Linked DNA regions of Xenopus tropicalis. The protein of the gene in region 2 interacts with the protein of the main gene of each other region in a biochemical or structural test. Links are inferred from orthologs where the notes say so. Each region holds a gene or a part of one and is shown on either strand. Other genes may lie near its edges.

Region 1 (3,821 bases), about 13 Mb from region 2:
GATCCAAGTAGCAAGGTACACATTGCCTATATACTTGTTTAACAAATCTCCCTCTAGTTATAAAATAATTCCAAAAGGTTTATCATGTAAGTGGAGCGAAATAAATTTACCTACACTATATAAATAATTTATATTTTGTTTCTTGGAAATCACAATTACAGCAAGCAGGTGGGTGCCATTATGTGGGCATTGTTATTAAGGTAAGCTTTGTATCATCACCAAATCATGTGTATGTGCCAAAAGTGGCACCAATGCCTATGCACTGGCTACACAATTAAACAGAGTAGGGAAGGAAGGGGGAAAAGAGGGGTGCAGTGACAACTAGGAAGTGCAGAATGGAAAGCAAAAGCAATTGTCTGCACTGCATAAAGGCGGGGCCCAGCAATATTTGATTGACAGCTCAGATTTTCAAATATATTCATAACAGGTATGAATGTTTTGATAAAGAAATTATTTTTATTAAGAAATGATTTGTTTATTTTGCAAAGAACTGTTATTATACAGCATTTATGTCTGGGTGACAGGTCCCCTTTACATGTTCCTCTTACAAATTGTTCAGTACAATGGTATAGCTTTGCTGCAGAGCTTTACCGTAAACAAAGACAAAGTTGGGGGTTTAGCCTGAAGGAAGAGTGTGAGCTTTAATTAAAAAAAAAAAGGTTGTGACTACTTAGAAGAGTACAATGGCATCTTATTCAAAGCTGAAACTGCAAGGTTAATCTGTAACTCCCTCATATGAGAGAAATACTAATTCACCCATTAGTATTAGACAAATGCTAAGGGAAAACAAGAAATGGCAGTAGGGAGTTTCTATACCTGCCTATAGCCTGGGTTTGGGAGAGTTAAAGCATATAAGTGTTTCTAGTAATGATATAATGGAATTAGTTACTTTTAGTCATAGCTAAAGTCACTTGTGTAGCTACAAAGTAGCCACAACTCAGATGTCGCCTGGAGTACCTGTATAAAAGCTGATTATTTGGTAGGATCTGCTCAAGTCTGCTGGTGTTTTTCAGCCTGAAGCACAGAACAGCTGGAGATGGGTTGCTTGTGAAAACCTTAATTATCCCACTTGGAAAAGAAACTGTCATTTCCCCAGTTATCTTTACAATGCATCTGCAAAATATACCAACAATGTTACATTAATACATATTCACATTTCTACTTGCTAAACTAAGCCTTTGGTAGCAGATCCACAAACCATTTTGTTCTCAGACTGCGTTTCCTAGATCCCTACATATATAGAAGCCTAATAACCATTTTACCAGTCAGACAAATAGCAAATGTATGTACAGCAGCTGCCATTCTGTAAACCTTTCCTTATAGCCACCACCAATTATCCGGTATATGGGAAGCATCTCTGATAAGAGACAAAAGTTGCTGCTGGTCTGAGTAGGCAACTTATCAGCCTGTGTATAGAGCCCTTTAGATGGGCCAGCCCAACCTACAGTAGGCAGGTTTAAAAATCCTGTCAGGATAAGGAGAGTATCGGTGTATTGATTTGGTCCTTGTCCGCCGATCTGTACGGCCAATTTAAGTTGTATTTAGATTTCACACAGCAAATTAAAGTGTGAATAGGATAATAGTGTGGCCCTCATGTAGTGCCTTTAATTTCTGGCCAAGACATTTGGATGAACTGGAGAATCTCCTAGGAGGCATATATGTTGGGGAGAGGATTTACTAGGCCTCCTGAATACATTAATGTTCTCTTTCTGGTAACCCATACAACAGACATTGCCATCATCAAGTGTTCACATGCTTGTAATATGATACTAAGGGAAACTGCACCACATAACTTTCAATAATATTATCAGCAATTCTAAACAGAGGCTAGTAGTGTTCATACCCTAAATATCCACTGCAATAGCCTCTGGTGAAACACAGATCTGCAAGGAGAACACTTACTTTGTGGGATCTGCTCCTCGGAAGTAGGCATTCACTGACTCTGAAAGAGCAACAGCAACTGGCAATGTGTCTTGGTTCCCAAGGGTGACTGGGCTGGGGCCTCGGGATATGCCTAGAACACAAGGGTAATTAGGTTAATTGGGATGCATGGGAATATAAACATGCTATTTGTCAGTTTGTCCAATCTATTTACCAAATAAAGATATGTTCCATGGGAAATGGTTACATAAATGTATATATATCTACAATTATAATTAAGAGGCATAATGGATGGGTAGGCAGCTGGTTCCTTTACAAGATAACCTGTGTTACCCTTTCCAAGGCTACAGACATGCTAATTGTGGCATCTGGATGGCTTTACGAGACAAATGGCCCCCCGCAATAGCATAAACCACAGTCCATGTGTGAGTAACTAACAAACAGACATGCCTCATTTACTTCCAGCCGCCTGCAACGTAAGCACATCATTAGAAAGCTGTGGGACACAAAACATTGGATTGGTCTCACCCTGACACTTTTCAAATACCCAGCACCTTTACAGAGAATGAAAACATTTACATGGAGAAACACCAAGGAATGAACTATAGTAATGTTTCCTAAAAGGAACATGAATGTTCTAGCACTATTGACACACATGTGCTACAGATTAGCATGGACTCATGATCATCATTAAAGCTAAAATCTAAAGCTAAATAAGATGGCTGTTCGGTACAGGTTTAGGTCAGTTTGTCAGTTGGGTAGGTTTACACTTATTTAATGATCCTTTCAGACAAAGGGTAAGAGATTAAGCATCTTATTATAAGTATGTATCTACATTTTCTGCCATAAAGCAAGGTCAGACTGCTGTTTATTGGCCAAGAGGAAGCAGAGACAGTCACGAGTAGCATGAAATATACACAAATAAGCCAAAAAGTGACTATATATGACATCTGCAGTGATGACAACTTACCAAAGGTGGGAGTATTTGCTGCACTTATAGAAGCGGAAGATGATATTGAGGAGGAGCTCTCAGCGCGAGGCAAGGAGGCTGAGGGAGGAGGACTGGTGTTCGACGTCAATGGAGGGCTGAATGGCCGTGGCTTAAAACAAAACAAAGAACACATCTGAATGTACAAATGAAACGTATAAAGTAATGGCCCAAAGGATAATTAAGTCCCTTTGCACATCTAGTAAAAAAAACTAGCATTCTTTAAATCTTTGTCTAGTGGGTCTCTCTTTTGTTTCTCTAAATCTGTTACTAATTCAGATTTTACTTTTCCCTATGCCCTTGAGCAGAGCTGATCAACTGGAGGCCCATGGTCTAGATGTCACAATCTTTGAGAGTTTTTGTTGGCCCCCAGACTGCTTACAGGGGTAGTTCACCATTATCCCTTGGTATGTTTTAGCAAGTCATATTCTTAGCAAACTGATATTTTTATAGTTCTTTAATGATATGCTTTTCTCTTCTGACTCTCCATCTTTCAAATGGGTGGGTGGGTGGGTGGGTAGGTAGGTGGGTTGGGGTCAATTCTTATTTTTCTACAGTCTCTCAAACCACTGCTAGCGTAAACTGATCTGTAGCCACCAGAGAGTTGCTAAAACATGAAGACCAAATGCAAATTGTCTCAGAATCTGCAGTATAATAAAAGTTGATTTAAAGGCAAACGGACCCTTAAAGTCCTGTTCCCCAAGCATGTATTACAGTGAATAAGAAGCATGTCCCATGGGCAAATTTGACACCCGCAGTACAAGAGATTTATCGGGGGTGACTAATCTTCATGTGGGACATTAGCCTAATCTCTCTGAAAAGCCTTTCCACTGACAATATAGGGATTTGCCGGTGGAAAGGCCTATGCATTGGTGCAGGCAACTGGGACATTACCCTAAAGGAGCTATTTTGCTTACTACCACTCCAAAAATAAGTTGTTAGTTTAAATAGC
Region 2 (4,583 bases):
CAAGCAGGTCATGCATAACTATTAGAAAAGCAGTATGGCATCTGCTCTCATACAGTATGTACAAAGGCAAATACGCAGAGAATGGGCATTCAATGTGCACAATAAATGCATAGCCTTTTGCAAGAAAGAAGCAGAGTACATTTTCCCTTTAATTAGGAGTTTATCCAATAAACTGGGCAATTAAAAGGCAAATATAGCCTAAGGGGGTGTGGATCCAATGTCTATTTAGTAATAGAATCAGAACATACTATATAAGCTGAATGCGCTGCCTAAAAGGTTTTAAAAATGAATATTATCCCCCCTCCCAGTAAATGCCTCTGTGTGCAGAGTGAGACTAAGGGATTTCCTTTCCCTATTCAAACAAAGGGGAAATGACTTGCAGCAGCCCAGACAGGGCAGATCTGTGCAGGGTGCCCCCCGTTCTGCATGGTATGGGCTGCGGCCGGACTCCACAGCTTATATAACTGCTTCCTCTCTGGCCCCTTATTTTTAGATCGGAGCTATAGAGGAATGCAGGGGGGGACTGGATTAGTACAGGAGAGAAGGGAAAGGGAGCTTTGTGGGAAATCATGGGAGAAGGGATTATTTTGGAAGCAATGTTAAACCTTCCAGTGAGTCATGGTAACCAAACAACTGCAGCACAGCGACGGAGAAAGAGACAGAGGCACTGGCAGAGACAAAGAGAAAGAGGGGAATAGGAAGAGAGAGGGATAGGAAGAGAGGGGGATAGGAAGAGAGAGGGATAGGAAGAGAGAGGGATAAGAAGAGAGAGGGATAAGAAGAGAAGAGAGATGGATAGGAAGAGAGAGGGATAGGAAGAGAGAGGGATAGGAAGAGAGAGGGATAGGAAGAGAGAGGGATAAGAAGAGAGAGGGATAAGAAGAGAAGAGAGAGGGATAGGAAGAGAGAGGGATAGGAAGAGAGAGGGATAGGAAGAGAGAGGGATAAGAAGAGAGAGGGATAAGAAGAGAAGAGAGAGGGATAGGAAGAGAGAGGGATAGGAAGAGAGAGGGATAGGAAGAGAGAGGGATAAGAAGAGAGAGGGATAAGAAGAGAAGAGAGAGGGATAGGAAGAGAGAGGGATAGGAAGAGAGAGGGATAGGAAGAGAGAGGGATAAGAAGAGAGAGGGATAAGAAGAGAAGAGAGAGGGATAGGAAGAGAGAGGGATAGGAAGAGAGAGGGATAGGAAGAGAGAGGGATAGGAAGAGAGAGGGATAAGAAGAGAAGAGAGAGGGATAAGAAGAGAAGAGAGAGGGATAGGAAGAGAGAGGGATAGGAAGAGAGAGGGATAGGAAGAGAGAGAGAGAGAGGCATAGGAAGAGAGAGAGAGAGAGGGATAGGAAGAGAGAGAGAGAGAGGCATAGGAAGAGAGAGAGAGAGGGATAGGAAGAGAGAGAGAGAGGGATAGGAAGAGAGAGGGATAGGAAGAGAGAGAGAGGGATAGGAAGAGAGAGGGATAGGAAGAGAGAGGTGCCTGGGTGAGGAGAATAGTGGTTGAATGAAGGGGAATGAATGGCTGGCTCCCTTGCTCATCTACAGTTGCACCTTCTGTTTCTTACTCACACTTTGCCTTAGGGACGTCTGACCCCTGGCCCTTTAGCCACGGTTGGACTACAACGCTCAGCCACAGCTGTCTGTAAGTGCCCCTATGACACCCACTTGTGACTCTGGGTCAAATATTGCTGTACAGGAACCCAGGAGCCAATGGGGCCCATAGAGTTACAGCCACTTTGCTGACTTGCCAGGAGGTAGCAGTTATAATGTCCCTCATAATGTCTCAGTTATAATGTCCCTACCTCTGGGGCAGGCAACCTGTGACTGTCCACAAGTGTCAGATCCCAATCACTGACTCCCAAAAGCTTTTAACCCCTTCACCTTTTTATATGAGTCCCCCCCCCAAGCACAAACACATTATATGCGGCCCCTTTAATTCATTGGAATGAGTGTAACCCCCTTGGGAGTAGTGCAACCCACACCTTAGCCACTGTCTCTCCCTGTCTGCCTCTCTCTGTATCCCTAGCTCTCTAATTCTTTTTAAATCCCCCTTGCACTCATTTCTCATTGCCCCAGACCCTTTCCATGCCAGCTCCTTGCCCCTGTGTGTAAGAGATTTGCCCCTGTGTGTGTGAGAGATTTGCCCCTGTGTGTGTGAGAGATTTGCCCCTGTGTGTGTGAGAGATCTGCCCCTGTGTGTGTGAGAGATTTGCCCCTGTGTGTGTGAGAGATTTGCCCCTGTGTGTGAGAGATCTGCCCCTGTGTGTGAGAGATCTGCCCCTGTGTGTGAGAGATTTGCCCCTGTGTGTGTGAGAGATTTGCCCCTGTGTGTGTGAGAGATTTGCCCCTGTGTGTGTGAGAGATTTGCCCCTGTGTGTGAGAGATTTGCCCCTGTGTGTGAGAGATTTGCCCCTGTGTGTGTGAGAGATTTGCCCCTGTGTGTGTGAGAGATTTGCCCCTGTGTGTGAGAGATTTGCCCCTGTGTGTGAGAGATTTGCCCCTGTGTGTGAGAGATTTGCCCCTGTGTGTGTGAGACATTTGCCCCTGTGTGTGAGAGATTTGCCCCTGTGTGTGAGAGATTTGCCCCTGTGTGTGTGAGACATTTGCCCCTGTGTGTGAGAGATTTGCCCCCGGTAGCGCAGTACTCAGGCAGCTGTGCCCCAGTGAGGGAAGAAGAGGCTCATTACTCACAGTGCTGCTAATCGCCCCTGGCTGCTGGGATGTGCGGCTGTCAGTCGCTGTCGCTGCTGCTGCTCCTTCCTCCCCTGCTGCCGCTGTTCCTCCTCCTCCTCCGGCCGCCTTAGCTCAGCCCCTGCCCGCCGCCCCGCCGATACTGTGTGTGCCGCTAATCAGATGCTGCTGGCAGCTCAGTGCGCCCAGGAATGTGCTGGATGTGCCTGATGCCTCGGCTACTCCCCCACCCCGACTCGCTTTAACCATTCCTTTGCCCCCACCAAGGCAGCAGCGACTGGCAATTGGTCGCACTGCCCTGCCTCAGAGCCGCACCGTCGGCATCACAGGAAGCACATTCCTCCGTCCGTCCATTTCTACCTGGAAACGAAAGGGTGCTGGCTGCTCTGTAAGGGGAGGGAAACATAAGCATTTTACTTGCCCCTTGTGGCACCTATGGGAGGGGGGGGGGGTATTGCTGAAATGCTGCTGTACAACTGGCAGGGCTGTCCTGAAGAATGAAAGGGGGCATTAAATCCCAGTGTCCCCCATGTCCAACTCGTTATCTAAATGTGAGTCTGCAGATTAATACAAACTCCCCATGTTCTAGTCATTCCTGTGGGATCTTTAGAAGAGTATTTATCAGTGGGTGAATGTTAGAATTCTCCATTTGATAGATAGGCATCTAAATATCCCATAGGAATAACTAGAACATGAGTGAGTTTTTATGTATTAAGATGCAGACTCACATTTTGCTAAATCTGCCCCTAAGGGCGAAGACACACGGAGCTACTAGTAGCAGCTACTTGTCACAGCTACAGAAACTGACAATGCTGATCATTTACTGATATTTGGGTCTACGTGTGTTTTAGCAGAGGCAATTCTCAGTATTGTCTATGGCAGGGGATTCTCTGGTGTTTAGTAGCTGTGACAAGTAGCTGCTACTAGTAGCTCTGTATGTCTTCACCCTAAAGCCATCGGTCACACAAAAGATCGTTCCAACCCTCCACTGACATTCAGGGCTGAATCATCAGATATGGAGGTAGAAACAATAGGATTTCTACCTCCTTCTGCCGATTCAGCCCTGACGGCAGATTTTGTTCAGGCGCCTTCTATGGTGCCCGGTCAAAATCTTCCAACTCGCCCGATCGGCAAGTCGACTGATATCAGCAGCCTCCTGCAATATCGGTCGCCTCGCCGAGTCGACATACAGGCACCGAATATCATACGAAACGAGGTTTTGTACGATAGTATCGGTGTATGTATGGCCAGTTTAAGGGTGAAGACACACGGAGCTACTAGTAGCAGCTACTTTTTCATGAATACTAGACTTCAGAAAATCCCCTGCCATAGACAATACTGAGAATTGCCTCTGCTAAAACACACGTAGAGACAGTTATCAGTAAATGATCAACATTGTCAATTTCTGTAGCCGTGACAAGTAGCTGCTGCTAGTAGCTCCGCGTGTCTTCACCCTAACTGTTTATTCGGTGATTGTAACAGCACTGGGTATTTATCATCCTCACTTGTTGCAGTGTAGAATTAGCCTTTATTTATATATCGCTGGCATAGGCTGTAGCTCTGTACAGAAATGGACTTGATTTACAAAGGAGATAAAGTGCGCCGGGGCAGTTGCCAGTAGCAGCCATTTTGCAATTAGGGGCAGAAAGGGGCGCTTCTGCCATTAGGCGAGTTGAGAAACTCGCCTCAGGCGGCAGAAGCGCCCCAGTTACCAGGGGTGGCAAAAAGCCGCTCCTGGCAACTTTAAGAAGAGGGCACTTTGGAGTTATTTATTGAACTTTAAGAGCCGAATTTACGGTTTTTAAACCGGAAATTCGGCTCTTCTAGTGCAGAGAGCGATCTCACCGCCCCCGGACCCGCTCCTGCGCTCAGAAGGTAAGCGCTGGGGAGCGGGGGG

Evidence for each region.
Region 1: the proteins of dab2 (region 2) and fcho2 form a complex in vitro, tested with the Homo sapiens proteins (2 studies listed by BioGRID). The link is inferred for Xenopus tropicalis from reciprocal best matches to the Homo sapiens genes DAB2 and FCHO2.

The regions. Positions count from the first base shown.
Region 1 is NC_030677.2:183,060,407-183,064,227, reverse strand, and holds part of fcho2 (F-BAR domain only protein 2), read right to left. Parts: intron 2,982-3,821; coding exon 2,852-2,981; intron 2,015-2,851; coding exon 1,903-2,014; intron 1,114-1,902; coding exon 958-1,113; intron 1-957. UniProt on the Homo sapiens protein: Functions in an early step of clathrin-mediated endocytosis. Has both a membrane binding/bending activity and the ability to recruit proteins essential to the formation of functional clathrin-coated pits.
Region 2 is NC_030677.2:196,524,304-196,528,886, reverse strand, and holds the start of dab2 (disabled homolog 2), read right to left. Parts: upstream 2,854-4,583; 5' UTR 2,687-2,853; intron 1-2,686. UniProt on the Homo sapiens protein: Adapter protein that functions as a clathrin-associated sorting protein (CLASP) required for clathrin-mediated endocytosis of selected cargo proteins.